Linked DNA regions of Lepisosteus oculatus. The protein of the gene in region 2 interacts with the protein of the main gene of each other region in a biochemical or structural test. Links are inferred from orthologs where the notes say so. Each region holds a gene or a part of one and is shown on either strand. Other genes may lie near its edges.

Evidence for each region.
Region 1: the proteins of ntrk2a (region 2) and ptpn1 form a complex in vitro, tested with the Homo sapiens proteins (2 studies listed by BioGRID, with this or other methods). The link is inferred for Lepisosteus oculatus from reciprocal best matches to the Homo sapiens genes NTRK2 and PTPN1.
Region 3: the proteins of ntrk2a (region 2) and bdnf form a complex in vitro, tested with the Homo sapiens proteins (3 studies listed by BioGRID). The link is inferred for Lepisosteus oculatus from reciprocal best matches to the Homo sapiens genes NTRK2 and BDNF.

What each region holds. Positions count from the first base shown.
Region 1 is NC_090711.1:12,093,294-12,103,742, reverse strand, and holds the start of ptpn1 (tyrosine-protein phosphatase non-receptor type 1), read right to left. Parts: upstream 4,621-10,449; 5' UTR 4,426-4,620; coding exon 4,357-4,425; intron 1-4,356. UniProt on the Homo sapiens protein: Tyrosine-protein phosphatase which acts as a regulator of endoplasmic reticulum unfolded protein response. Mediates dephosphorylation of EIF2AK3/PERK; inactivating the protein kinase activity of EIF2AK3/PERK.
Region 2 is NC_090698.1:61,693,808-61,703,504, reverse strand, and holds the start of ntrk2a (BDNF/NT-3 growth factors receptor), read right to left. Parts: upstream 3,923-9,697; 5' UTR 3,862-3,922; intron 3,612-3,861; exon of another isoform or gene 3,519-3,611; intron 3,032-3,518; exon of another isoform or gene 2,901-3,031; 5' UTR 2,550-2,900; coding exon 2,344-2,549; intron 631-2,343; coding exon 556-630; intron 468-555; coding exon 396-467; intron 1-395. UniProt on the Homo sapiens protein: Receptor tyrosine kinase involved in the development and the maturation of the central and the peripheral nervous systems through regulation of neuron survival, proliferation, migration, differentiation, and synapse formation and plasticity.
Region 3 is NC_090716.1:3,156,045-3,166,275, forward strand, and holds the start of bdnf (brain-derived neurotrophic factor), read right to left. Parts: upstream 4,228-10,231; 5' UTR 3,664-4,227; coding exon 3,550-3,663; intron 1-3,549. UniProt on the Homo sapiens protein: Important signaling molecule that activates signaling cascades downstream of NTRK2. During development, promotes the survival and differentiation of selected neuronal populations of the peripheral and central nervous systems.

The DNA.
Region 1 (10,449 bases), on a different chromosome or scaffold from region 2:
CAGGATGGCCTTTTGTGCTGTTGTTAAAGACTGAAGTCTGCCTGGCAGAATCAACAGCTCATTCGAAATCTTAAGTGAAAAAAATATGTTTATTGTGGACAACATTCAGCAATACTTACTCCGACACTAGTACACTAACTGCAGCGAACAGTTGCCTGTATACACTGCATACATACGTGAAATTAGTATCCGACTTAAGATTAGAATAATGATATTTACAGAAATGTGTTCAAGAATTTCCACCTATGAGACCTGAGGTCCAGAACACAAAGTGAGGAAGCAGAGTGAGAGTTAACATTTCACGGGTTTGTTTTGGTGTAATTCCTATTTTAGAAGAAAAGAAAACTATTTTAAGTATGTGGCACAAATATTTTCCAATGAGTCGTTCTTTGGGCTCAAAACCCGTTCTTCATCAAAGAACACGCCCTGTGTGTGAAAGCTGATGAAAAATCAGTTATTTATTACCAGTTTGTTGTACTGGTCTGCGTGCGAAAACTGTTTTTGCCGTGTCAGATGAGCTTTAACACGAGTTGCTTCATTAGGGAGAAGTACGCCCTGTTTCCGAGCTGCGTTTCAGGTTCAAGCCACTTATCCATTTCCTAAAGACGGCTTCTTCCAATTCAGGGGCGCAGGGAAGGCGGAGCCTCTCCTGGCAACACCAGGTGCAAGGCGGGGTACGCCCTGGATGGGATGCCAGTCTATTGCAGGGCAGGCACAAACACACTTACACCAGGACCAGTTTCCCAAAACCATTTAACCTACTAGTTTGTCTTTGGCCTGTGGGAGGAAACCTACACAGACACAGAAAACTCCACAAATATAAAACCCCAGGTCCAGAATTTAACCCGGTACCCCAGACCTGCCAAGACAGCAATGCCAGCAGTAAAGGTTAATTCCACGCTGAAAAAAACAGAAAGGAGAAACGCTGTTTTGCTTTGTCTGAAATGTTGTGACTGCTCTCTATTTTTCAGCATGGAATTAACCTTAACTTGTTCCTTTGCAGCCAACACATGCTTCTGATGCTGCTGCCCACTCAAAAATGTTTTAAGCTCTGCGGGGATCTATTTATTCGCAGGTCAAAACACTACTGCATTGGACTGGAAAGATGAAGACAAGTAAAAAGATTGAAATTTCAGGTTTCTTCATTTCACAGTCTGAGAGCAAGCTTTGCTTCCTCATGATAAAGGCATTAAAATATTAGCCAGTGCTATCTGAGACGAAGTTTACTTGGCCAGATGAGTTGAGGATTTTTTCTTACAATGAGCAGTGTATAGTGCTAGTAAAAAGGACACAGAATAGGGCTTACAGACATCGTACCTGGATAAACCAGTTCCAGCCAGTACACCATTGAACGGGACACTAACATGAAAGATCAGTTTACCACCTCCGATGTCTGCTACTTTGCACTGCAGTTAATCAAATATACTGGTTAAGCAAACCTGCAACACCTCAGTTTTATTCAAAATTAATATATTAAAAAAAAACTCGAAGAACGTTTAATCTGCAGTTACCTCCTGCACACCTGAAGTCAAGACTGTCAATTCACTAAAAGAACATTACCTGAAATGACATGTATTTTTGAAATATGATGCTTTCTGAGGTAGTTATGAAAAACTACCTTAGTCTTATAAACGACATGTTGAAAAAGAAAGTATAAACTGTTATCCCTGTTGTAAATATTTACCCCACAATGTTTCATTATTTAAAAATATTCAGCATCTGGTGAGTTTTTTTACCCAAATTGTGTTGATGATAATCTAGAACCAAACAGGAATGTTTTATGTTAAAAAAAGTCTGTTTTGTTAACATTTTCTGTTGAGGGGAAAACTGTTAGTAAACACTTTAGGAGATTGTAACACATTGTGCTATTCTCTGCATGTTAACCACTGATACATCCATAAAAGTAACTCTAAGCAGCTGTGAGAACTTGTAAATGATCGTTAAGTTTCCTTCAGTTGACATCCTAAAGATTTCTAGCATTAAAATTATATACATTCACATAAAAAGATGAACATGTGGGTCAAATGCACAGAAGATTTTTAAACTCACAGGAAAGTTGAGTGAATACATTTCAGGTCCTTTTCTATTGAACATTGTTCCTGTGCTGGACTAACGCAGATTGCAATGCAAGCTCTCATTTCCCGCCTGACCTTTACAGTGAACAGTGGTCTGTGCTCCAGACAAAGCTGGGAGAGATTTCCAAAGGTGACAGCGAGGAATCTTGGACAGGGAAGAGAACTGAAAGCCTATTGATCTCAGATTACAGCCAAGATTTAGGGAAGCTACTGGCATTTCTCCCTTTCCCTTAGACCTGTCTAAATCCATCCATTTCCTAACCACTTCTTCCAATATAGAGTCGCTGGGGAGCTGGAGCCTATCCCAGCAAGCAACACTCTGAACAGGACGCCAATCCATCTGAGGGCACGCACAGACACAGACACGCACACTCACACCCAGAGGCCTGTTACCAGTATGTTTTAAGCTGTGGGAGGAAACCAGAAACGCGGAGAGAACATACAAACTCCACACAGATAGCACTCCAGGTCCAGACATGAACCCAGAGCTCCCCAACACTGCTAACCACTGTGCTGCCACTGTCCACAACCATTCAAGAACATGTCAGAATTGCAAGTTTGATAAACTGACACTCTGTGCCCTGACTGCCAACTAATGAGTCCTGTCTTGGGCTCTTTCAGGTGCGGGTATGCACTATATGTGAGCACAATACCCTTTTCACAAACAGACATAACACACCTGCACAAGGCAATAGCAGGAGTTAGATGGCAGAAAGGCAGTGGAAGTCATTCACGCATGTCTTGATGTTTTACATGACCGCAATGCTAAAAGGTTTACAGATACTGCTCAGCGTCTTCTATAGTACAGTCCTGTGTTGTAAACGCTGCTTGAAGAGGAGCACCAATGCGTCATACTTTGAGGTTTTATTTCACACCTCCGCTTTTGTTAGCTTGATAAGGAGCAGGTAAAAAAAAAAATTCAGAACTGTTCCCTTGAGTTAAAATGATACTAGGAGCCCAGATAACAGGTGACGAATAATGATACTACTTTTCACTTTGTTGTACTGATTATTAAATTTGTAGTAAAAAAAACAAAACACTTTTGGCTAGTGACTCAAGTCCCGAGTGATGAATAAAATATTTTGGGTTTGGGCTAATACTTGCTTAGCAATTAACAGTCATTAGCCATTTCCTCTTTTCCGCATATCACAGAACAGGCTCGCATCAGAACGACTGATTGCACAATAAACCGATCTACATTATCAACGACTTGCAAAGCCTTCGAACCGCAAAGGGAACTATGATGCTCCAAATACACATGGCAATTTTTACATTTGGAAGTGGGGATCCTCAGTCTTAAGTTAACGAGTTATTAATACCGATATCTTCTGCTAGGGCCCCGGCGTGCTGTATGTGTAGTACAATACAGTTTTATTTCCTGAAACTGCCGCTACCGTTAACGTTAAAAAGTAAGGTCGAAATCGTGTTTTGGGGTGCAAAGAAACAACACTCGGAATAATCTTAAAACATAACATTACCGAAACAGAAGACTAATATAGTTTTTTACATATAGGTTGCCGACACCTTTCTAGGTTTGAAAACTAAATTATCGGAGTTTGTTTTACCCCCCCGCAGTGGGCGACTTTAATTTACATATTAAATTACATTTCTCAGAAAAAAGACACCGTGTCGCGCTGCAGTAAATTAAATTCAGGGAGTTCATGTAGAGAGGGGGTTTTCCGGCCACATTACAAATACATGTGTTGTGTCAGCGCAGCTCATCACAGCGTGCCTTGTTCAGCGCATGTATAAATAATGCTCATTTCCAGGTGTGAAAAGACCACTTACAATCTGACACACGTGTGTGAAAGCCAAGAAGTCACGTACTGTAGCGAAAGCAGTGTACTTCGTGGGCATGTGGACATCTTCCACGAACTCGAGCACATTGGAAAACTAAAGAAAATCACTTTTAAGCAGAGGGGAAGGGATTAAGCATTTTATCCTTTTAAATCGCGCGTTCTCCGAATCGACTACACGTCCAGTGGCAAAATCAGCAAATATCAGCCCTTTTCGGCTATCCACGTTGTCGTGGCTTCCCAGTTATTTAAAGTCTCTTCGCCTCCGGACCAACGTAGCTGGGGATCACCGTGTTAGTTGGACCAGTTCGCTCCGGCTAACGCGGCACATCCGAGATTACTTTGAGCTCCAAGCCAGCGCCAAAACCCGGGATATCCCCTCCTTCTTTAATCTATCGCGGCAGATTAGCAACGAGCCTGCTCGAATTACTCCTGTCGCTGCCTTCTACACCCCTATCGCTACCTCGGTTTGCCCCAACACCTACCTGGTAAATGGCGCTCCAGCTCCCGGACTCATCGATTTCCCGAAACTCGGCTTCCACTGCCGTGCTCATACCGCCCTCTCTCCCAGCTCCCTCCCGGTAAAAAACGATTAAATTGACAGCCGATGCCTAACTAATTACAAACCCCGATCGCTCCTTTTTCTTGTCCAGCATATAGATTTAATGTATTCTTTTCAGTTGTTTCCTGGCCTGTTCTAACCGGAAACACGCCGCTTGCGCCTCCCCGCACCGAGACTGTCCCTCCGCATTCACGGGACACGCCCACACCGCCGCTACATGGCCAATCGTGTCGCAGGAAGCGCGGAACTGTGAGTGGGGGAGCCAATCAGCGTTTCCCGGAGGGGCGGGGTTCCCAGCGGGCCAAACAGGAGGCGAGGAGTGAGGGCTCTAGTTTTTCTGGGACTTGTAGTTTATATATTAGAAACAATACGGATTTGCAGCTATAATTAATACTGTTGTAGCTGTCAAGTTGGTGGAAACATAACAGAAACGAAGATGATACTCCTAGGCCCTTACCGACGATCTTTAAGGTCTTGATAATATTGCAGGACACCGACATATTATATACAGCACTCGCATACTTTGTTTTATTAAAACACGTTGAGTATATATAGATACGTAGCATAGCGTATAGCGTAGACACCAAATGCTGTTAAAGTTCTTCAAAAATAAAAAAGTTAAAAGGTAGCAATATTTGACTACTCGGCTAATCCGGCAGTTGTCAACTCGTGCCTAATTCTTTACCCATCGTCTTTAAAATGTCCAGAAAGAATATTAGCTTTTATTAGGTTTTAATTATTTTGTGACACTGGATGGGTGTTTTTACCAGTTTTAAAAACATCCGTGCAGCCCAGACCACGTGACTGACTCCGACCCGCTGTGAGGGTTGTAGTATGCTGGTATGCTACTGTAGTAGGTTGTAGTATAAATAATGCCGAACTTCAATTTTTTTTTACAAAATATGTTCTCCTAAAGTAAAAATAACACTTAAAACAATTTCAGTTTCATTTTAATTAAAGTTAGTCTTTATTCGCTTTATAATGCGACACTACTACTACTGTTTCTGATCCGCATCCGATCATTCTAAAATCAAATTAGCATCGGTCTTGTTGGACCTGTTGTTGAGAATAATATTTGTAAACGTCTAGATTAAATCCAGTTTCCCGTCCCTCATTCGCTCGCTTAATGTTTAATCCCTTTCGCAACGATTAGAAAAAAATGAAACTCGTAAAAACAAAAGGATATTGCCTTAAGCAAAAGGGATTTGTCATCTATTTCAAACGTCCTTTTTCATGTTGATTTATGTCCCCTGGAGCAAAATGAACAGGCTTTTATAGTGTGTAATAATAAGAAAAGGGAAAATACCTTTAAAGATTCTACAATGAGGGATCTCATTTGTCAAAACTAGTCTGGTCCAGGCAGTTTATAATGAATAATATATATCATGCAGGCTTGTGACTCTCAGGTATGGAAAGTCTGGGACTTGAGCAAAGGCAGTCGACCGAGAAGAGTGCAACCTTTAGCAAGATGACATGACCTCCTGCAGACCCTCCAGCTCGATTGATTGAGCTGGAACCAGCTCCTTAATTATTGTATTGACAATCGTCAGGATCACTCAAGTAATTAAGGAGCCTGATTGCATCAAGCCCCGATTTAGCAAAATAGAGAGCAAATCTGGGGCAGTGGGATCAACATAGCTGAAATACTACCCAAATGTCCTCACGTAGACTCAAGTAAAATGGCAAAGGGAACCTTTTTAGAATGACTGAGGTCAAGTGGACCTGAAACATGAAGTGTGTAGTTTTTTTTTTACTTTGACCAATGTAAAATAAAGTTGCTTTCAATACCTTCTTTGGACAGTGTCAGATATGATATTTCCTGTTTTAACTTACAAAGATGAAAATTGCAGAAGGTACTATCATTTTTTAAAAAGCCAAATTGTTCCAAACGCGCAGTAATTTATTGCACATCTCAAGATTACAACATAAAGTGGCATTTACTTTATTGTAGAGAAAAAAAACAATTAGCCATTACATTGATATAAAAGTAGTCTTCATTTTAAAATGCTTATTATTCTCTGCAAAGAAATGCAATTGGTTAAAATGAGTTGCTCGTCTGCATGTTTTTTTTTTAATGAGTACAGCTACACATGCTATAAAATATATTGGAAGCAAAAGTGTGACGGGCTTGTTGCTGATGCTACTGTGCACAAACACAAAGCTCAGGCACAGTGCCACTGGATAAGGACGACATGACCCCCAACCATAAGGAAGGTCATTTTAAGGGAATGCACAACAGGTTTTCAGCACAGAAATGTGATATTAAATAAGGTTATAAACTTAACTTGGTTATTCGAATAATTGTGCACTGTGGATTAGTGAATCAATTAAATCTGGTAAGCACTACCTTCAGAGGTGACTACCAATAGATGTGCAAGCCATCAAAGATGCAAATGGTTGGAAAAGCTGACATAGTGCCCTCTGGTGTTTTATACTATGAACACATTCGTTTGTATATCAAATTGTATCTGTTAACAATGCATAGTTAACATAGTACAGGTGTTCAAAAAGGCCACATAATTTAAAATCTGCACAGCTCCATTAGAAGTCAGTTTACGGACTATACTTGCTTTTCAGAACCGTATCTAATGCCACAGAAAGGAATTTGTACACAGTAGTAAACTCCCAGTGCAAAATGCCTGCTGCATGGCACCACAGAGATGGATATGAAGTTCCCTCTTATCTGTGGAGTACTTAGTAATCTATTGGGCTGAAAAGCATTGTTTATATGCAAGACATTCTTGTTGAAAGTATTACACGTTGTTGATAATATCTCACCCAAACACCAGTTCATTCCTGTTCACTGGGATAAGTCTCTTCCAGTAACCATTATTTCTCCAAGACAAAACATTGTACCATCATAGTTTCCTTTAGGAAACAAAGAGCAATAACGATATTGCAGCAGTGGCAAAATACATTGGTATATTAAATCACGATCTTAACATGATGTCAAGTTCAGTTTTAATTATCTGGAAAACAGGAAAAGTAATACAAATGTGCCTGCTTGACCAGAACCACGATAACTCTCTTTACTGTGTGGAAGACACACAAACTGCCAGACTTTTATTTGATTCCCATATCTATATAATAATACATTATTCATGTAGTAAATGATTTACTGAAAAATGTGGCATGATGGTGCAGTGGGTAGCATTGCTGTTTCACAGCACTGGGTTCAATGCCAGATCCAAAGTGCTATCTGAGTGGAGTTTGCTTGTTCTCTCTCCATTTGTGCAAGATTGCTTGACTGCTATGGTTTCCTCCCACAATCCAGCAACATGCTGGTGGGTTAACTGGCTCCTGTAAAATAGGCTGAACCTGGTGTGAGTGTGTGCATGTTTGTGTAGGCTCTGCAACATATTTGCGTTCTGTGGATAGGCTCTCAGGATAGTAATTGATGAAACACAGCGGTGCTTTATCAATTTTTCTTGAACTCTGCTTTATCCTTAGTTACTCCTTATGAGTTAACTAATTTTAGAGACGTGGTTCCAATACTTCCTCCTGCTGTTCCACAGTGCTGTTCATTGATATAAGCCTATCTAGTTCTGCCTGGACTGAGAAACGGCGCAGCTAGGCTTCAGCACAAGCCAGACGCTGTTGTATCCTGCTCTGCCTATCGCACTCTGTCCGAATTCAGCAAGTGGACACATAAGCTGCCCACGTGCTCAGTGAATTTAGGAGGGTCCCACCTTCGAACTGGAAGCCAACGTGCTGGGCTCCTGTAGATGACACTTGGGATTTTCGCCGTGCAGATAATTTGATCCGACAGCCAGCATGAAAAGAAAAAAGCCTAAGCCGAAAGGCAAAGCAAATTTCTTCCCCTTTTCCTTATGATATGTATTTCTGTCACCATTGCAATTTGGAGGGAATAGATTGCAGTAAAATTGGATGTAAATTCGTAGCCTGAAGACTCACCTAGCCTAGTTCATCAATTTCTTTCTCAGTTTTAGAAAAAGTGCCTGTCAAAAACACAACCTGTATTTAGAAAGACAAAGAATCTAATCCCATCTTTAAATTTATTGCTATAATGCGTGTTTTCTCTTAACAATATGACGGTCTTAGAGGTGTTACTGCTTGAGTTCTCTATGGGGCAGTACAGTGGTAGCACTTAGAGCCCTACATTTACTACAAGACAATGCATGACTGAACCTGTAAAGTATTTCAAGATACGTTACTGTAATTATGCTGGAAGCCTAGAATAAGGATGATTAACATATTTGAGGAAGACATGCCAAAAATAAATTTTTATGTAACTCTTAGAATACACTTTCTCTGTGGCCTGTGTAAGATTTTAAATGACCATGCATACAAAACCAATAAGACTTTGAGCTTAAATAAAAAAATATAGGACAACCACCTTTCTCGAAAACCGCCTTTATGAAAAAGGTGATTGTTTAAAAAAAGTCTTCCTCACAATTTCCACAGTTGTCAATGAGAATATCAAGACTTGCAATACATTAATAATCATGGCCCTATCTAACAGTGATTATAAAATACAGGATAATTTCTGCTAAACGTGCTCCAGAAAGTATAGAGGCATCTTGTTTGTGGATTTCTCCAGATGTGAATTAAAACAGATCAATGAAACACCCACCTCTCACACACACATGTACATACAGATTCAAACGAGGATCTTAAAATGTATTGGAAAACAGTAAAAATTTCCTCTCCAGTTATTTAAGGGAAACCCAAATCCTATAGATTAACTAAGAAAGCACATTAGGTAGGATAGTTGAGTCAATCCTGCAGAAAATCTTAAAAGGAGTTTTTTAAACATATTTTGACATGGGTATCAGTGGAGGGATTGCTCTCAGATGCCTATGTATCTATAATAAAGTTGGGCCAGAAGACTCAAAAGGTCTGGCTGAAGGCCTTTGTTATGAGAGAGAATAAAGACTCCAAGGCATGAGGGCACTGCTTGCCAGGAAATAACACCTATTTTAAGAACCTGATTTACAGCGAGAGGCTTGAAAAGCTCTCACGATAAAATATAAAGAGAAAGAACCCTTCAGAAAATAGATGTACAACCATTATGATATTCTGATTCATCAACATCTGTCAAAAAATAATTTAGTGAACCTTTTCTCAAGACATACTGAATAACAGATTATTGTCCTGAAAGATCAGGGTGATGAGGTTAAGAGGGAGAAGACCTATTTTAGTTGAAAACCATAAGTAGCAGGCTTCCTAACATTTCTACCATCAGCTTTCTGGTCTAACACTGCTCAAAATTATTTCCTGAATGTTTATTCAAAAGGTCTCATTTACCCTTGGTCTGTGTTGTATTAAAGAATCTATAATCATTCTCAGACATTAAAATGACAAGTTGTCCGATGAGACCTGGTCATCTTCCCCCACAATTTAATTGTCTTTCACATCTTAGGAGACCTTTCAGAGTTTAGCCCTTCAGCATGTGTTTGTTTTGAGATCTGGATATCCATCCATCCATTTTCTAACTACTTCTCCAATTCAGGGTCATGGGTCCTAACCCAGCAAGCAATGGGTAGGGTACACCCTGGCCAGGACGACAGTCCATCGCAGGACAGACACAGTCACAAACACTCACACCAGGGCCAGTTTTCCCAGAAGCCAATTCATCTACTTGTATGTCTTTGGACTGTGGGAGGAAACCCATACAAACGTGGGAAGAACATACAAACTCCACACAGATACCACCCAGGTCCAGAATTGTGCCACTGTGCCACCTACATCTATATATTCTTAGCTGATGTTAAATGTGATTATGAGATTTAAAAGGTACTATACAAGTAATTGCAGTGTTTTTCAGCCTATGACTTTGGTGATCTCTTTGGGGATCTGTCACGCAAGAATAATGCATAACAAAGAAAAGAATAATGAAACATAAAATGTTAATGAAACATAAAATTCCCATATATGTGTTTTCCCAAAGAGTTGCTTATCAGCCACTCAGTACACAGTACCCAGATGAGATGTTAGTTTTAGGGGCTCAAAACAGCAGTTAGAATTCTGATAATAACCTTCAACCATTTCACAT
Region 2 (9,697 bases):
TCAAATTGTGCTGCACACAGAATTGTATTTATAGTTCTTGACCGGTTATAAAATCACAATACATCTGAACACTGTCACTGAGATATACTGTAGATATAAAGAACCTGCTGCAATGTAAAATGTCTGAATCATTTTGTGGCAAAAAGAAAAATACAATATTTTTAGCACACTCCCCTTTGTCAAGACATTTTAAAATTAATCACTTGAAATCCAAATGAACACCAAAGTATGTGTACATGACTGAAAAAGAAAACTAGGTTTTCATGTTGTACACTAGATGTTAGTAATTTATTAAAATAATTAAAAATGTGTATATAACATTAAGTTTTTTTTTTCATTTATCCATAAACTGAAATGAAAGTACTCAACTTACAACTTACAAAACCATTACTTACAGATATTGTAGCTTCACATTGTTCTGAAAGGCCAAACGGGATATATAAGTCAATCCCGAGTTTGTCACAGTTCTGTTGACAATGAAAACAAAATGATTATTGTTGTTGTCGACTGTTGTCATAAGTATTATCATTGCTGTTTTTAATATCTGATACTTACAAATTCCTGAGGCTCTTATAGAACTTCACATCATTATCGGTGATGGCATGTAAATTACTTTGATTTGCAATGTATCTGTTAAAAGACATTAAAATAATGTTACAAAAAATTAATTTGCCTTTTACACAGTTAATAATATAATGTGCATAACTTAAAATAATGGCCTTACATGTTCACTAACCATTCTTGAATATTTTTGTCATTTCCAAAAACTATTAAAGAATCCCTTTGCTCATTGTGTGTTGTGCTTTTATAAAAAAGAGGGCCCTTTAAGATATTTTATCAATTAATTTATGTTAAGTCCAGTTATTGCTTTTTAGCAATTCCTTATATAATCGCTTCTGTAAAACGCCTCTATAAAGTGGGCTACATGCTTTAGTCATTTTGTATGCCTTAGTAAAGGCCTTAAAATATTTTGATGAAAACAGCTGGCGAGGTGAATTTTTTTTTATCGATTAATTGATCTAGTCTCTTAAATTCAAAGTTGGATCGATCTAACAGTTGTGTGTCAATTAACGCTTTTCTTGATGCACTGGTGGTTTCCCCATAGTTATATCACAGTGTTTGAAGACTTTATATCGCAGCAAATTATACAGTCTAAGAACCTAAATAACTAGTATAAAATAAGGCTACACTAAATGCGCTCTATCGTCTGTTTGAAAGAAATCTACCTTGTACAACAAATAAGAAAAAAATAGTTTCAGGTACCTAAGGGGCTTGATGTTAAGTCTTTAGCAAAAAAGACACTTCGCGGATTAATGTGTAGCGAATTATACGACTCTGCTTCCTTTAAATTTCAATGGCCACATTTATGTTTAGGGCCTTTTTTATCTCAGCAGTCTATCTTTTCAATAATAAGATAGTTATAAAAAAGGAAGAATAACAGTCTTATAATTTCACACCACAGCTGATGTATAATAGCTATGCTTCTGCATAACCTAGCTGACCAATAAAAAGTCAATTTATCGTATCTAAAACTAAAGGTGAGCCAAGAACTAAATTCGTTTGCTGTAGGGAGTGATTCTAATATGCCGCGTCTTTGCTCGGATTTTGCTAGGGTTGCGTTCCTTTACAGTCTATCAATCCTCTTATTACGGGAATGCAAAACTGGCTGATAGCAGCAGCAGCCTAAGCCGTTCCACATTTCAGCACCTTTCCAATGAAAAAATGACATACATCCTATTGAAAGTCGTTTTCGCAAATACGTGTTTCTTGTTCCACACACGTTGTCTAGTGTCGGGTATTGGGTCCATTTTAGTTAAATAATTATACCACGGCCACTGTTTGAACATACATATAAGCGTGTAGTTCAACTGATGCTGCCCTTTAATGGCTCATACAGTACAGTACAGTGTACATCGCATTTACCACTGACAATCCTTTAAGATCTACATAAACCTAACATATACAGTAATCCATTTACTTCCAGTGTATTTGTGTGAACAGAATTGGCCACTTTACAAGTTTATTTTAAAAGCACTCTGAAAACAATCTGCCGGAGCTTCCTTTTGATACATTCCTTCAATCTTTCTGCTCATCCTTTCCACACATGTCCTCCAGTGATTTTATTTTCTTTAACACTAGCCCGCTGTAACAGATGAGCCGATAAGTCAACCTTGCACGATGCTGCTTGAATGAAACTTAATTCTGGCTTTGCTCACCGCACATTGCAACGCGTTTCGTCTTAATGTTTTTTTTTCATTTTCGTTTCGTTATGATTTTTGTAGTACAACTGGACACATTATTCCAATCCTGAACGTATCCATCTCTCATGTGGATGATACTCACATTTCAGTAATGTTTTCCATTTCTATATCGGTGTTTAATACAGGGAAAGCCTTGATTCCCCATTCTTGATCGATACTGGTACATGAAATTCTTGAGGTGCTGCATGTACAAACTGCAGGACAAGCGGCGCTAAACCTCCAAAGCCCCAGCAAAATCCAACAAAATCCCAAACGAGCCATTACACGCCACTTCCAAGAGGAGATCATAGTGGATCCCTCGTTGCCCTTTCCAGATTTGGTTAAATGATCCTTCCTTATAAACCTGTCGGCGATCTTGTCAGAAACAAAGGCGAAAAACCATGAGATAATCCTTTCGGTAAGAGGTGAGGTTGTGATCGAATTGTCTTTTCTCTCTCCGCAGTAAGAGAGTCATACAATATTAAATGTAAAGGCTTTAAAGTGTGCCAAGGTTTCCTTCCCCCCTCTCTCCTTTTCGTTCGGTGTCTTCACTCTCCAAGGAGATTTGGGTTGGCTGGTTGATCGCAGTGGTGCAAAACACCACAGAAAAAATGATGCTGTTGCTGCTGCTGCTGCTGCTGCTCCGTTTCTGCTGCAGGGCTGGAGGAAAAAAAAAAACAGGCAGAGATGATCCACGCAGGCTGAAGCGAGCGTGTGGTGCTGTAGTGAAAGAGCGAGTAAGTGCGTGATGAGGACAAGGCAAGGAGGTACCGAGTACCAGCAGTCGTATATCGATAATTACCACACGCGATAAACCTACAACAGCCGCTCGTTGTAATTACGAGCCTGATATCAGAAATGATTTTCGCTGCGATTTTCCAGGAGCAAAAGGTTATTGCTAGAACAGAACAAAATAAATCCTATATAGACAAAACTGGAGACTGGCTTTGCATGGCATGAAACATGTTAATCATTTAGAATACCATTATATTAAAACATGGTGAGACAACCTACACCGGAATATAAATTTCGAAAGGAGATTGACATTCGAGAAAATCAGATTAAAAAAAATGTTTGAATTTAATCAAAGGCACACCTTCATATTACCTGATGAGGCTGCAGTGATATACTGTACCTCAGAACAAGCAAGCGGTAAAAGCTTCCAAGTGTGTTTAATTTACAGTCTGATTAAAGATATGATTTGTACTGTACCTATAAAATGTGAGGTAGGAAATGTATGGATACCAAAATAATGCTATAGAAAATGTTTAACAATACCTATTGCCAGTCACTAAATCCAGCATTACCAAATATCGGATGAGAGTCAATGTGCCGCGTTGTTTCACACACACACACATAGGCACTCACTCACGTAGTGTATTCCAATAGCTGTGAATGTGACGTGATATTTGACGCAAATATGAGATTCTGAGAGAATCTCAGAAATCAGAAATACGCCAAAATGCCTACTGTAAAATGCTTGAAGTGATTCCAAATATTTTGCTTTTATCTTTACAATTTTGAAACTAAACATGTACACGCAAGCATAGTGTCTGTATTTAGCGCAAAAAAAGTGAAGTACGCTTCGAGGTTTCTAAATGTGTGTTAGTGGCAATATCACCTGTTAAAAAACAATCAGCAGCAAACAGCCGTTGAAAACACTAATACTGTATATCCGCAGCAATTACACTGGACCAGCATCGCTTCTGTATAAATTATTATTTATACAGGAAATACATTGCATAAAGAATTGAGAAATTACAGGATAATGCTCAGAGTTCAAGGAGGCAGAAACGCAATAAAACCCTGTCTCCAGCGTCACAAGACACCTAGTCGTGTCTGTCAAAACTTTCGCCTGCAGTGTAATTCCGTGTTTTTGTCACGTAATGTCACCAAATGGGAATTTCCCATTTTCCTAGCACGAAGTCACGATGTTCTCCTCACGGATTTACCGCAGCATAAACACACCTCACACATTCTTCATAATAGTCTATATTTGATATGATTACATGTAATAGATCGTATTTACACAAATAGTATCTGCATTATATGTAATTCAACCCCTTTAGGTTACTAAAAGAGTTCTGTCGCGCTATCTATTATCAAAATTCTAAATTTGTCTAATTTAAATATGTATAATGTATGTATAAATAACAATGTGTATATACAGTATATATGACTAAATGCTTCACTTTAAGGGACAAGCTGTATTCTACTGTATAACCTTCAGGGTACAGAGATTTGTTCGTCGTTTGCCGATAAGAAACTTGTAAAGCGAGCTTTTATTTTCCACCCACACAACGATAATAAAGAGCACCTGTTGTTAACCGTGGTAATTGTGGGATCGTGGTTGCCGAAAGGTGAAGACAATGTGTTTTCTGGGAATACGCCGATTCATTTGGCTCCAGACATTGTACCGCAGTAATTCAGCAGAGTGATAGGCACATTTTAAATGGCTGCCCTGACACCTAGCGAGACTTTAGAAAATCTGCACATGTGAATAATACACAATCCCTTGACCTAGCTGCGCCCTTGCGTCTTCAGAGGCTTATTGTATTTATTACATACAGGTCATGATGAATAAGCATTTGTGTATACTGTACATAGTATGAACTTTAATGTATTATGTGTTGGTATTGGACTGCAGACATTCTGAAATGGTTCCCAAGAATGGCAATACCCACTAAGTCTCCAGCAAGGAGGATAAAGATCCAAAGAGCACAAATCTGAGAAGGAACTGTACGGAGGCAAGGGATGAAGAGTATTGATGATACACAGTATAGTTGTGAATCATAAGAAAAAACGGTAAAATGTCCAAAAATATGCCATCATCAGCATTTTGAAGGCTCATACTGAGAATTCAGGCAACGTCAAGTCAGCTGCAGTTCTGTACAGCCCAACAAGTGGAACTACTGTATGTGATTTACATAATGGAAAGGTATTAAAAAACACCTCTACACATATTTCCTTGGCAAAACCACTCTTTTTTAAATGCAATTGTTACAAGATTGTGTTTTTCCCAGTATGAAACAGACAGAAGGCATTCAAGGTTATGCATGACTTTGAAATTAGAACTTGTTCATGTACAGGAAACCAAGAGTAGCAAATACAGTAGGTAGCTGTGTCCGCATGTGTAGGCTGAAAAGGAACAGATAAAGGTTTATTTCATTCAGAAAAGAGATGAAAAGAAACACAACCTTTCAGCTGTGGAGCTGCTAATGTGGTCCAATTTAGCCAAAAATGTATTGGAAAAAAAAGGTGCGCACACATACACACACCGTATTCCAAAGAAACTTTAAAGAAAATAAAATATGAAATCTGAAAACAAGCCATTCCTTATTGATGACAAAATTCTTACTGGCACTTTCAAAGTTTTTGTAACTTGTTTGGGATTATGAATGTTGTTCCTTGAAGCAACAAAAAAGCTTGTTTGGACTAGCTTGATAATTAATGTGGGCTGTAATTATTGACTGAAACACTGAAAGGCAAAAAGATTATTCCTATTGACATTATTCTTGAATTCTTCATCTGTGAATGATCTCATCTGATTTTATTTAAATTATTTTGCTTGCAACTCAAACAATAAAGTTCAAAAGGATCAATGAGGTTTTAGTGCAGGCAGTGCTTTCCAACTGTGATGTTTGTAGAGTCTTTGCACAAACTGTTACTAGATAGAGTTATGATTGTTACAAGATAAGTAATCAGAAATGACAAAACCTACAGTCTAATGCAATGAACAAAAGCTATAACTACAGGTTATCCTTCAAAACTACAAAATAATATTTCAATACAGCATTAAACACATTATCTGCCTGTTTTTACAGAATACATGCATATTAACAATATTTTCTATGACAAGCTCCAGATGAGCACTTCTGCCTCCTAGATAGCACTAAATTAAATTTGTACACATGACAGTCATTACACTGGTAAAATGAATACATTGGCCAGTGTTGGCATACCACAGGACCAGTAAACAATCCAACCTGATCCCATCCAGAGTATCCAGTATTGAAGTTTGAAACAGACCAGCCCTTTATCCATTTCCCAGCCGAGCCAGATAACTAGCTAACTACGTTTTGAATTTCAAATTCAAGCTCTCATCCTGCCACTGTAGCTGCCCATCAATCTGTCTGCTCATCAGTCCATCGTGGAAGTAGATGCTCTCCTTTGACTGCTATCTTATACATACTTCTTATACAAATATTCTGCACTCCTTAAATGACTTTGGGTAGAGAGGCAAAAGATTTCAAAATTAACTAAATTAATAACAATCACATTTCAACGTTTCAAAACAGATATGACTTTCACTGGATGTTTATAATTGTTCTCCAACTACCTTTTCAACTGAAGTCTATGTATGCAAGGAAAAAATACTTGACCATTCTCTTAACATTGATATTTTTTCTTGATAAGTACATCTTAAAAGACTCAGACAATTCGCAAGGAAAATTGACATGCAGCTGTAATTGAAAAATGGCCCAGTGTCTAATAGGCGCATATTTAGCATTGATTCACTTAGGGAATCTTCTCCCTGTTTTATTGTGTCTAAGAATATTTCAAGGTTTGCAAAATCAGCAAGTCTGCCCATATAAGATTAATGTAGAGAGCTGGATAATGTGCTTCACTCAATAATTTTGTGTTTATCTAATTATATTAAATATAATTAAATCAATATTATAAGGGCCTTGTTTGTTCTTAGTAGTAATTCAGACATTCAAAAACAATCTTTTTTTTCACTCCCCCCAAAATATCCCACTGAATCAACTTTTTGAGAACTATTGGATAATTGTACATTACTTGAGACCTGGCATTTGTTCCACAATGTATTTTACCTAAGCAAATTGAAGGTAAAACAATTGACATGTACTTGAATCACCAAAGGCTGTTTGTTCTGGTTCAACCTTTATGTCTTATGTTTTCTCCTTACAGTAGGCTAAAATCCTTCCAGACAAAATCTGTTCTTTTCAAGTTTACATCTAGTCTGCACTCCTTTTAACCTACATTTAATACAATTTGAAATTTTGCATTTTATTAGATAGTTAAATAGTTAAGTTAAATTTGCATTTTATCATATATAATCTCTTTATATTTGAATGTTTTAATTCAGAGCATTAAAAGACGTCTAACCTTATGATTATTGTTCTGATCAGTAGCTCTGGTTGGGTGTCCAAAGTGTGTTACCATGTTTATGCTTAATCAAACTGACTGCTTCTGAATCCCTCTCTTCTAAGCAGTAATCTGCAGTAAAGGCTCTGACAGTACAGGAGATGATGAGACAGAGTTGCTAACAGATGGCTATTTCAAGGTGATGTATAACAAGTGAAAGCACAGACATTACAGTATAAACTGTGTAATAAACTAGGCCCTATTATTAATCCAAATACTGTAGGGAATTCCCAGTGAAGAGATATGTGGATTACTCCTGCACTGGGATTGCAGGAGTAGGTAGGTGTCGAGGCAGGCGAACAATCCGGTATGTCAGGCGAGTTCGTGGTCAAAAGGAGAAAGGTGGTTCGAAATCCAAGAAGTACAAATAGTGGCAAACAATCCAAAACGAGAGGCGAGGTCCAAAGTCAAAAGGCAAAAGGGAAGTCCAGAATCCAGAAGAGTGTGAGGTACAGAATAAATGCCAGGTAGAGCTCTCAAAGAGTAGACTCAATACGGAGCAGCAAGAAGTGGGTCTGAATGGCTAAAATACTGCAGCTGGCCGCACGGTAGGGCTTCCGGTACTGAGTTAACACGTGCAGCGGCACTTGTAAGTATCGCCCTGCTGCTGACACTGGTTAGCTCTCTTGGGGGCTGGTCTGGGCAGGCTGGTGGTCGTGACAAATACCAATGACATGGTCTGATACTTACAAAGCCTGAATTTCTAATGTAGTATCAGGGCTATATGAAGGGATTTATTAGCTTAGGGTGCACTAATGCTTTTTCTCAACATAGGCCACTCTAACTCCAGTTCCTCCGTAAAAGATTTTGTATAGCAAGGCCAGCTCATGTAAAAACCTCCCCAAGTGTACAGTACCGTTCAAAAATCTTTACAGATATGCCAGGGAGAAAATAAAATATATAGCAATGCTCATTCTTTATTATCGGACAAATATGTGTATCCATGAACAGATAACTGCTTCCTCGGTTTAAAGCTAGTTTTACCTCGCACATATATATAAAACACTCCTTCACAATGTGAGCGTGAGAGACAAAACTGTTGAATGTGAGAGCGTTTTGTGTGTGTTTGTGAGAGGTAAAATGGAGAGTGTGATAACATTTAATGTGTATGTGAGAGGTGAATTATGACCCAATGTAGGTGGTCCGTCTAAATGGCACAATGTGATTGGCTGCGAAAATGTAACAACAAGCTGTCTCGTTTTCTGCTGCACTCCAAGATAAAGGAAAGAAATCAACCCAAACTCTAAGAAGCACTAAGACAATCTGTAGCTTTAATTAATAACATCTGAGCCACACCAGAAGCAATAGCTTCATTGTCATCAGCTACGACGCCCGCCATTAGTGTTCTTCTGTCTGTTCTTGCTTCTGGTATGTCCCTATCTGTTTTGTACAAATATGAGGATAGATTAACCTACTTGAGTAATTAGTTATTCTATAACTTAAATTGCTCATTCATGGATCCATTTAGATGTTTTTGTCTTCTTTGTTCATCATTTAGTCATACTCAATTTGTCAGGCAGTCTTATAACCATGATTATTTGTGCCAATGTTCCCAGAGAAGATGATTACAAAAAATCCAGTTTTATCATTTCAGATACAATGTCTGTCAAAATTATAAGAAAGAAAATAATGTTTTGTTGAACATAATACTCCAGGTTCCTGAAGAACCCTAATCCAATAGGTTACCATGAATATATCAATTTCTCATATTTGCCTTGTAATATGAGTAAAACTTATGCACCTTGTACTTTTCTTCATGTTTCTGGAACAATCCTGCTTCAGCAGCATTATTGAAACATGTAGCTAGCATAATATCTGTTTTATCAGAGTTGAGACCTGATCTCTGTTAATTTGTATCAAGATGACCACTCGCTGAGTGGTTTTAAAGTAATGCAACACAAAATATATTGGTGGGTTTAACAGCAGCTAAGGGAAATCATACTTAAGCTCTGGACTGAACCTCTTATGGCCACATAACATTGCTGGCTAATTGTGTTTTGGGACATGTTTCAAAATGAACTGTCGAGTGCTAGATTAAAAGGTGCAGGTTTACATATACGGTATTAAAAGGATAGTCTCCACTTTTCTGGTCAAGTGACTATAAGAGTAAGTTATTGTTAAAGAATAATATTTGTTTTATTTATTTGCTATATTTGTGTATAAACATATATATATATAGTTATTTTTTTCAACAACAACAGACGATCTCCAAATAAAAAAAGAACTTTAGATCTTTTCTTTAAAAAAATCCATGGAGGAATGTCATTGGGATTGATAAAGCAGGTGAT
Region 3 (10,231 bases), on a different chromosome or scaffold from region 2:
TAAAGTTTCCTAACTCTCTGCTTTGACACAAAAGAATTCAAGCGCCCCTGAAATGCACACATTGTATCTATACAGAGTTCCTGGCAAAGAATCTCAAACAAAATTAAAATGCAATCTCAACTGCAATGAGCTTCAGCAGAGTATCAGCGGACAGGAGCAACACCAATCATACTTTTTCACCAAAGAAAAGTGTGTGAAATGTCAGGCTTTCGGTCGCTTACGGAAATTTCAAAGGCTCACGTAAAAAAAAAGCCCTGCAGATTTTGATTTCAAAGACTTTTTCGTCGAGCTATCAGAAGGGTCATCGACAGTCTGTCAAAACGGTGCCTGTGGCCACAATCACATCAGGACTACTGTGTTCCTCACTCCCTTCGCATTCACCTCCTTCGCTAGGTGGCCGCTGTCAGGCTAAAAGATTTCTGCTCCAAACAATTCAAGAGAAATACCTTTAAATAAGTTCCAACGCCTCCGCCCCTGACCCCTGTAGCTAAACAGATAGCGCTCTAGCAGGACTGAGAGTTCAAATTAGTTACCTCTTCCACAATGACCCGAGGCAAAAAGGTGTTGTTTTTGGAAAGTAAAATTCTCAAGAAAGTCCTCGCGAAGCCCTTATGTCCACTTCAGACACCAACAAACTCAACTCAACTCACAGGGATCAGGCCGCCACCAGGGACTGTGGCTAATCAGCTTAAAGGCATTGTCTGAAACATCAACAATAACAAAAAATGCCCTTTGGATTTCTGGGAAGAGTGCACCTTTGGGTTTGCAACTTAAAGCAGCACTGATTTAGCCAAAAAGCAAATATCCTAAAAGGGCTGTGGTCTGCAAGTCTTTGCTAATATTATAGTTGCATCTCCTCCCCCAGAGCATGACCATGCACTGGGTGAACACAGAACGTACACTTCGCATTCCCCCCCCCATTACACATAAATAAGCTGTACTTAACCTTACCTAATCCCTTAAAGGAAGGGTCATAGGGTCATCGGGCACAAGGGTTAGGCTTTTAGAAAACCTGAAAATGTAATTCCCACTTTGATATCCCAGCACATCCTAATCCCCCGTCCTTCCCTGCAGGTTCTCTAAAGGTGCACTTTAACAGGCCGCTGCCAATTTGCAAATGATAAGAAAGACAATACTATGAAGAGGGCTGTGCCAGCTTCAGCAGCACCTGTGTGCCAGCAAGTAGTGCCAGCAAGCAACACAGCTTATACCACAAGACTTCTTCTGTATTTGTGATGTGGCGACTGGATTTTTTTCAAATGAAGCCAAATGAACGGCAATGAATTAAAGAAGTTCTGAAGCTGCCTCTTTTACTCTGTCCTGTCATATGAATGATATGAGTAAATGAAAAGGCATGCCTGTGCTTTTTTTTTTTGGTGCACCCAGTACAGCATGTACATTCTTTTTAAAAAGAATCCCCTTAAAACCTAGAGCTTACTCATCCACCTCTGCCAAATCGAGAGAAGGCTTCACACTCGAAACATTTCACAGCTCACGGTTTGCAAATAATTCTGGAGACTTACTGAAACAGGTTGTCTGCACAAGAACATCAGGTCTTAGCAAACCAAGCTGTTTTCCGCTACTTTTTAAGCAGTTCTGGGAGTTGTTTGCTCCAATTCCCATCAATTAGACACATTTATATTTTGATAGCGGTGGAATTCTGCTACACGAAAGGATTTGCTTTCTTGTATTAAGACCTGTTTTTAAATGACATGGTGAGCACAGTGATTCAGTCTCAGCAGAAAAACAATGCTACTCTCCGCAAGCACACTTGAATGGTAACATGTACAGTATAAGATTACAAGCAGAGCCGTCTGATGAATTACCCACTAAGTTCCTATGGGAACAGGACTGTAAATTCATCCTTTCCAAACACAGCCAAATTCCTAAATCACAAACTGAGGAGAGTGCAGATGAGATTCCCAGAAACGTTTTGAACTAGTGGGCTCTGGTGCAACATTTTCTTTTCCACTTAAAGAGCTCAGCTTGACGTTTTGGATAAACAGCAAATTCTCCTAAAAAAGAAAGAGAGAAAATAACTTCTACAACCCAGCCAGCCTGGATTCTCTGCAAGGTGTTTTTTATTTAATTCCAAGGACACAGTCCTGTTTCAGCGGTTTCACCAAACCTTATTTAATGCGCAATAGAGGCATGATAGGGATTAGCTGGTTAATTGGCGGAACTGTAGGGACAAAGCTGACAGACCCCTCTTTTTGGCAAGGAAAGCGCAAGGGGACTGCTGTAAGGGTGAGGATGGGGTGCGAGAGAAGATCGGAGAGTGGGCACTCTGGAGGTGAGGTCCTTGCATGCAGGGAAGCTGAGGTGGGTGAGACTGGGGTCTGACCTTCTACAGAACGTCCATTTAGAACTCCACATGCAAGAGTCATCAGGCTTCAGCAACTCCCCATCAACACCTGGGGATATGGTTATAGGCCAGTTTTCATGACTAGATCCCTCCTTGATCAAATTCGGGCCACTAACACATTCACCCTAGTGATTTTTCCTGCTCTTCCAATGTTTTAAACTGGAACCACACATATTCTATATACAAGCCATTCACTGTGCTTTACTACATTATACCATGTTTCCGTGAGCGACATTTTACAGCACTTCAGGCCAGGAGTTCTCTATCTTTAACCCGCTGCTAGAGAAAACAAACTACTTAAGTTGTCCATCTACTTCCTCACTGAAATAAAAACCCACAGAAAGTCAAATATGTCCCAGTGTAACTTAAGCACATCTTTTAATACATGAATTCTTTTCTTTTTCTTAACGACTATCACAGGGCACAGCATTAGAGGGAAAGAAAGGCTGTGCCTGACAGTTTAACAAGGCTGCAAATGTCACGCACAAGACACTCCACAGAAATGGAGGCCGTGTAACTCATTAGAATCCAATTGCTAGTTACTCCTCTGAGCTTTCTTCTTGCCGGGTGACTGACGCTCTTTTTTTATTTGGCTATTTCCTGTTTCAGTAAAGAAAATCAATAGGACTTGTCCTCAAAACTCTGATCCAGTTAAACCACAATCACATCCATGAACCACTGCAGTACTCTGGGGCTGCCTGTGATAATTCCAATTCGGGGGAAAAAAAAATACCCCAATACAAATACCTTTTCCTTAAATTTGTGAAATACAATTTCACCTGCAGCTGGGGTTCGGACGTCTGATTACGGCGGCTGACTTACAATTTTCTATACCTAGAGAAGGTCAATTTGGCGATTGTAAAAAGAATTACAGTATCAAAAAACGGTCATAAATTAGATTTAACACACCATGAATATTTGGGGAATCTATTTGTTTCAGTGAAGCTAATCCCCATTTAAAGAAAACGAAAAGCCCAACATTGCTTTATTTATACTCTATCTCCCAGAGCTAATGATTGCACAATTACACTGAGAAAGAAATGAAGGACAATCATTGAAGACACACAACCATTACCGTTTAATGAGACAATAATGAACTGCTCCTGCAACACTGGAATGACACCTTTTGAAATGAGGAGAGTGCAGAACAAGCCCACACACATTAACAGGCCTTGAGATATTACCTGGGTCACTTCAAATCTCCACGTCGGCTCGGTCTTGCAAAAGAACTTCTGCCTTTTTTTACCACTTGCGGTGCGTAGCTCAGCTTCCATTCCAGGGGTGGCACATTTCATCATTTATTTTTAAACATTACGCTGTCCAGAAAGGAGAAAGACTGGGAGACACCCGGCAGTCTCGGTGTCCTCTATTATAATCTTATTTGCCTATTTAAATTGCTGTGCTCTCTGCTGGTGAGTCTAGTTTCTCTCATTACTCTACAGGGGTGACATTCAGCTAAATTCAGCTCTGGTGCTAAGTACTCTTTTCCCACACGCTCCTTCATTTCCGTCTCTGTGCAGAAGGATGAGCCAGAAAGTCACCTCTTCACTTCGCTGGTTTTCTCCTCTTGCTTGGTGCCTGCTTGCAAGTCCCATGAAGGCGATGAGCAGGGATTAGGGGCCAGAGCAAGAAAAACAGAATCTGACTGTCATTTCAGAATGTGACCTGCTGACAAGTTGTGGGCTTTACATATAGGCTGGGGTCCGTCCTCTTCATGCCTGCTAGAGGGACTAGAAGAGAGACTGGCACTGCTAGATTAACAGATGAAAGGTAATTGCGCTATCATCTCTTCTTTTCAAGGGGGCTGCACTGTTTCCTTAAAGGATATATAGTGTCCTTTTAATCCCGAAAAAAGAGATTACAGTAAAGCCCTATTGGACCAATACAGGATTGCTTCCTTAACATAAAGCATATGGCAAAATGTTTCAATGACTTTTTTAACAAACACAATTGAATCCCTGCTCTGTGCCACTTCCATTTGCAGCACAATAATAATTGTTTCTACTTTAACAGCGTATCCAACAATGTGAATTATTGCTCCGGTTACCTAGTGTATAGTGCCTCCCTCTCTCAGAATTCAATGTTCTTGTCCACTGGTTTGTGTTTTAGTTTTCTTCCAAAGGTTATCTTGAAGTTAACTGATATGACAATCCAGACATGGCTTACATTAACCTCATTGAGATGTAAACCCTTCCTTGAAAACACTACAGTATAAAAAACACACAAATGCATGTTCATTGTCACTTCTTTCCAAAGAATGCACTTTCCTAAGAAGTTCTGCATTGCATAACCATCACAATCTTTCTCACTTCACTGAGATTGTACAAAAAAACAAATCAAATCTTCCTGGACAGAGAAGGACTGTTCTGTTTATTTTTTTTTTGGCTCTCTTAAGTTTATTTTTGTTCATCACTTCCAAAGTCATTGTAGTGACAGTCTTGATAATATCAGCAACAGTAAACTCCTAAGATTTTTTTTTTCAGTGACCCTAAGCTTTCTTGTTATCTGTGGAAAGGTGACTTCCAGAACCAGACTTGATGACTTCCTGGAAATGTCTACATTCCTGCAGATAGAAAATTAAGAATTCTGGAAGGTCCAAAAATCGGATCGTGCGTGCTACAATTAGGCTACTTGGTGTTTCCTGGAAAAATCAGGGACAAGCACCATAGTTCTAATGGAATGACGTTCTTTCTAAGAAAAACGTTCTTCAAGGAAAACTGAATGAGGCAACTCCATTCAAACTCATCATAGCTTGTTTATTGAATGCTACAAGAAACTGAATTGCGTTAAACAGTCAGGAGTGGATTCTGCAATAAAAGTAAATAATGTAAACAACCTTTCTCGACAGTTATTTAATGGAGTTTATAATGAAAGTTCGGGAGGTATTCCAACAGCCAAGTTCAATCAGCCTCAGCTGTCAGTAATTTGTAATCAATCCTAATGTCATTTCCTTTCCTAAAACACTATAAATACTGTATGTGACCCCCTTCTCTCCTTCTCTCACACACAAGGTCTCCTGCCTCCCTCTTCCCCCCCATCTCCCCCTCTGCAGCTGCCCCTGGGTCACCCCTCACTCTGTATGGGGGTCCCAGCCTCCTCATTCTCTGGCCAGGAGGTCAGCCCTCACCCACACAGGTTCAGCCGAAACTTTATTGTGACTAAACCTTAATAAACTCCATAAACCTTTCAATACGCTTGATTCTTGGGTAAGTGTTGTTATTTCTGTTGGAAGTTACTATGATACCGTCCTACTGTGCTGTAATGAAAGATGCAAAAATATGCAGAGATTTTAATCATGCTTAGAGTGCAATTTTCCTATTGGCTGCTAAGGCTAGCTCTGCAGGTCATGTGTAAAACTAATAAAAGAATCAACAGATGATGACACTGCCACTTGTTTTTTAAATTAGGGCTAGTGTTGATTTAGACTGGGTAAACGTTGTTTTGCTTTGTGCTTTCAAAAAACAGGTGTACGTTATTTCTCCATTTTTTGCTGTCAATGAGTGTGCATATGCATGCAGACAGATTTTTAATGTGCTGTTTGGGGCATCGCAGTTTCATATCCTTTGTGTGCAACACGATTTTCATATTTGACTCATGAGACCAGTGCGGTCAGCGAGTGTCAGGCAAAAGACACGGCACCACTAACACAAACACACTATGGTCTAAGTGGAGGGGGACTGAGCTCATAGCTCCCTTGGCTCCCTGCTCTTCTGTGGATTCATGTGGAATCAGACTTTCACAGTAAAGCAGGAATTCAAGTCTTTGCATGAAAAACTCTACGAAGGTCAATTAATACTTGCAAAAAAGAGAGAGAGACGTTTGGAAGCCTGCATTTAACTATAAGTGAAAAGCCCTTCTGTCCGACAAGTAACATTAAATAATCTTCTACCACTATCCTATTTATTCAATTCATGTATTTTTTTTAAGGACAAAAATATGTAGCAGCACTCGCCGAATGTCAATTCCTATAATTAACTAACCTGAAGTCATAGTTCTCTTCCTCTAGCTGGCCTGCTTAGCCATTCGCCTGTTTTCTACCACTTAATCCACAGCTCCAGAGCTGATTAACCAACCAGCATGTTTTTGGACTAAAAGGGGACATTGCAGCACCAGGAGAAAACCCACGTGAACACAGGGAGAACATGCAGACTCCACACAGACAGTCCCCTGGTTCCAGAATTGAACCAAGAGGACCGCGGTGTTGCTAGGCAGCAGTGCTAACCACTGGGTTACCCTTGCCTGCTTATCTGTCTATTAACCAGTATCCACTACTGCAGCGCTATAAAAACAATACTTGGGAAGTGTGCCAGAACCCTCGTGGGTCAGGAACGCGTTTCGCCAATAATCTGCAGGAAATGTATTTTGTATCTGCCGGGCCGTATAGAAACTCAGGAATTTGTAGTATATAGACCTTTAAATACCTGTAACTCGACGTATTTAAAAAAAAAACATCATGTTGGGCGAAAACAACCTTGCAGACGAGCCTTCTCTCCTGGTGCCAGAATAATAATAAAACATTCCCAATTTAAATGTTGTCCGATTACCATAATTGGGTCGGGTAGTACCGTGACGTACAGTAGCCAAAAAAAAACCGCTATTAGATTCCAGTGCGTTTCAGCAGGTTACCAGGTCGATTGGTGAATTAGATTCTAGTCACAACTCAATAACAAAAAAAAAAGATCAAATGCAATCTTTCCCTTCCCGTTCTGTACTGATCCAGAGAGATGTCATCTAATTAACCCTCGGATGCATGGTCTAGGTCTAACCTTCATTGTTCTCGAACTTCCAGGGCCGACTAGAGCTTTTATATATAGATGGATTCGAGCTGGAGTTTCCTCGCGGCTGTTGTGTATTGTGTGCCAGGAGCAGAGAAGTCGAAAGAATGTTCCGGCATCCGAAAGCCTCACAGCAATGCACCCTGCCCCTACGTCACAGCCCAGGTTTACGTGGTAAACCATACCTTGTGAAGGTACACATTTGTCTTGTAAATACTTCAGTAGCGAACGTCTCACGTCAGGGCCACACGACTAGATACCCTTTCTCCCAACGAGGCACAGACCCCGTGCTCCTGAGCTCACTCTGAGCGGCAGCGCTTTCAAAAGCACGCCTCGGCCCTCACCTGTTGGAGTGACCAATGAGCCATCTCTGCCCAATCAATAACCATGCGCACAAAAGGGATTTCGAACGACTTCAAAGATTTGCTTCGAGTGGTCAGAAATCCTCTTGATCACCTAACAAGTAAACGTTCTAACCTTGGTCACGAAACGGCCCCATGTGTACGAATTGCAAATATTTACAGAAAACGTGCTTTCTTTCCCGGTGCATTCTTAAAGGGGCAGGAAAGAGCCGGAGAAACCTGTCACTGCTACAATTCCATCCCCCCCGAAACACGTCCCAAAATGATTTCGCCTTCGGTCGTTTAGTGTAAACCCACAACTGAATCATCGTTTTAAAACGCTTCGGGTCCTCCAGAAGCAAAATCGTTATGTTGTTTTTTTTTTTTCCGGAAGGCTTCGCTACACTGGGAGTGTTAAGTACACGTCTGACAAATTAATGCGCATATACAGTACGTTTTGAGCCTCTCGGCTTCACTCTTTATCTCAGTGATTGATCGGGGGCAGAACTTCAATATTTAAATAGATTCAGTTTCATTCGTTTGGACGTGAAAAAAGCGGCAGATAATTACACAGTCTCTTTAAAAAATTCATGTACCGGGATAAAATTACACTCGCAGAGTCAGCTAATAGGCTATATTTAATTAATAGAGAAATGAGGGGGTTTCTCCTGAAACACCAACAATTCCTAGTGACGTGACGCAGAATCAGCCCTTAAGGCTGTTGGCCTTATTCACTCGGGAGACGACGAATCTCCAACCAGTTTACTTCGCTCTGGGCAACGTACGTAAATCCGTCAAGTGTACATTTATTCCAGCAATTCCATGAACGCCTGACAACAGATATGATTTAGTATTTGTTTAAAAAAATACACTTGTTTCAAATCTTCGGAAAATTCTGACACCTCTTTTGCAAACATCTATACTGCACTGAAACGAGTTAATTGAAACACGCCGGACAATTAAAGCTGCGGAAACCAATTAGCGGCATCTCGCGCTCTCGGCTTATTAACTGATGTTCTTCGCTGTCTTGGATGTAAGCGCTCAGCGCAAGGCGTCAGCCGGTTGCCATGGCGATTGTGCATCCACTTCAGGGATGACTGACGTGTCCAACCAGATGCCGATGACTCCAATAGTGTAGTTTTGACTCCAATAGTTTGCGCTCTGTAATTTACAAAGAAGCTGGACGCCAAACCGAGAGACTCATGTTGTTTTGCCGGACACTGGAGTAAAAGTGTTTGATTATCAATTACTCACCCGGGGGGTTTACGAATATAAGTTAATTGTTTCAGACTCCTGTGCCAGACAAAGAAAATAAGACTCTTCCTCGTCCAACAGAGAGTCTCGGAACCGTGTAATGACATTTTGACAAGAGCGTCCCCTCCGTCACTAGCTTGGGACCGCGGTGCCGGCGGGACCAGCCTGCGCTGTGTCTGTATGAGCGAATGAAAGGTTAAAAGCAATATGATAAAACGCGCAAAATCCTTTTTAGTGACCGTAGACGTAGCGAATACTTGCTTGTTCCGTGAAAAAGAAAACAACTCAGCTCAGCGAGCAGCAGAGGTGAGCGCAGGTGCTAAGAAAGCCTATTTCATGGACAGAGTGAGGGGTCGCCGTTAGTGGCCTTTCATTTTCTAGCCACCCAGTTAATTAAGCCCGACCCTTTTCTGTACAGCCCCAGAAGCGGACAACAAGCAAGGGTTTCTGGAGAACCTGCTCACCTCGGGGTTTTGTCGCACCCAAGACGGCAGCTCGTTAATTAAGTTAGTCTGTATCTGCATCTGAGATCAGCCCAGGCCATAACACTGTGACTTAATTGCGCATATTAAACGTGGATCGAAGGCTGTTCCTGTAGAGCGCAGGGCTGAGGGCGTTCTCTGTCCGAGCCAGCTGTCCGAGCTCCGAGCCGGAGGACAACCGGCGCATATCGCGGTTCTCCTAAAATCGTTACCGGGGGACCTTGTGCGCATCGTCATTTTCCAAGCGCCAACTCGGGAATCCGGAGAGCTGCAGCCCTATGACCGTTAGAGAAACCGAAAAGCCCAATTAACGTGGAACTGATCATCAGTTTCGCTTCGGGATCAATAAAGTCTTATCTTATCTTCTCTCTTCTGAATATACCGATCTGTCCGGATATTTCTGTTGTACCTGCCCGCGCAGGTGACTCGTACCGAACAGTCACCGAATGCGATTCGGGGATGGACGAAGACTTTCACAGTGGGGCTGCCCAGGAACTTTCTTTTCGGAACAGGAGGAGAAGCGAGCTACAGTAAACCCGAACCCATTTACAACCCGTGACTTCCGAGCCCCGGTGGTACAGAAGGAACACGAAAAAAGTCAGAATTCTTCTGTCCACTCACAACCAAAAACAAACAAGCAAGCAAAAAGCTGTTTCCTGTAATGCATGTGGTCAACAAGACAATTCAGAAGCCTATCGGCCCATATGCAATTATTTTTGTGACAAAAACAACAGAGTAAAACACGACTGCTAACTAGGTACCAATCCCATTCAGTAGCCAACAAAAGCAGTACAGAGCAAGCTGGTTTCCCCAAATCTTTCCACTAGATGGCGCCTTTGTCCAAGGTAATGTTTCCAAGAACTGCTTTCAACCACAACCAACAACAACAACAAAAATATTCCAGATGGTATTTGGATTTCACATTCCTTTGATCTTCAGGTAAGTAATGGGTCAGGTATCATTCGGTCTGTTCCAGTTCAGCTGGGCACATTCCAGTTTCCCACAGTGGACCTA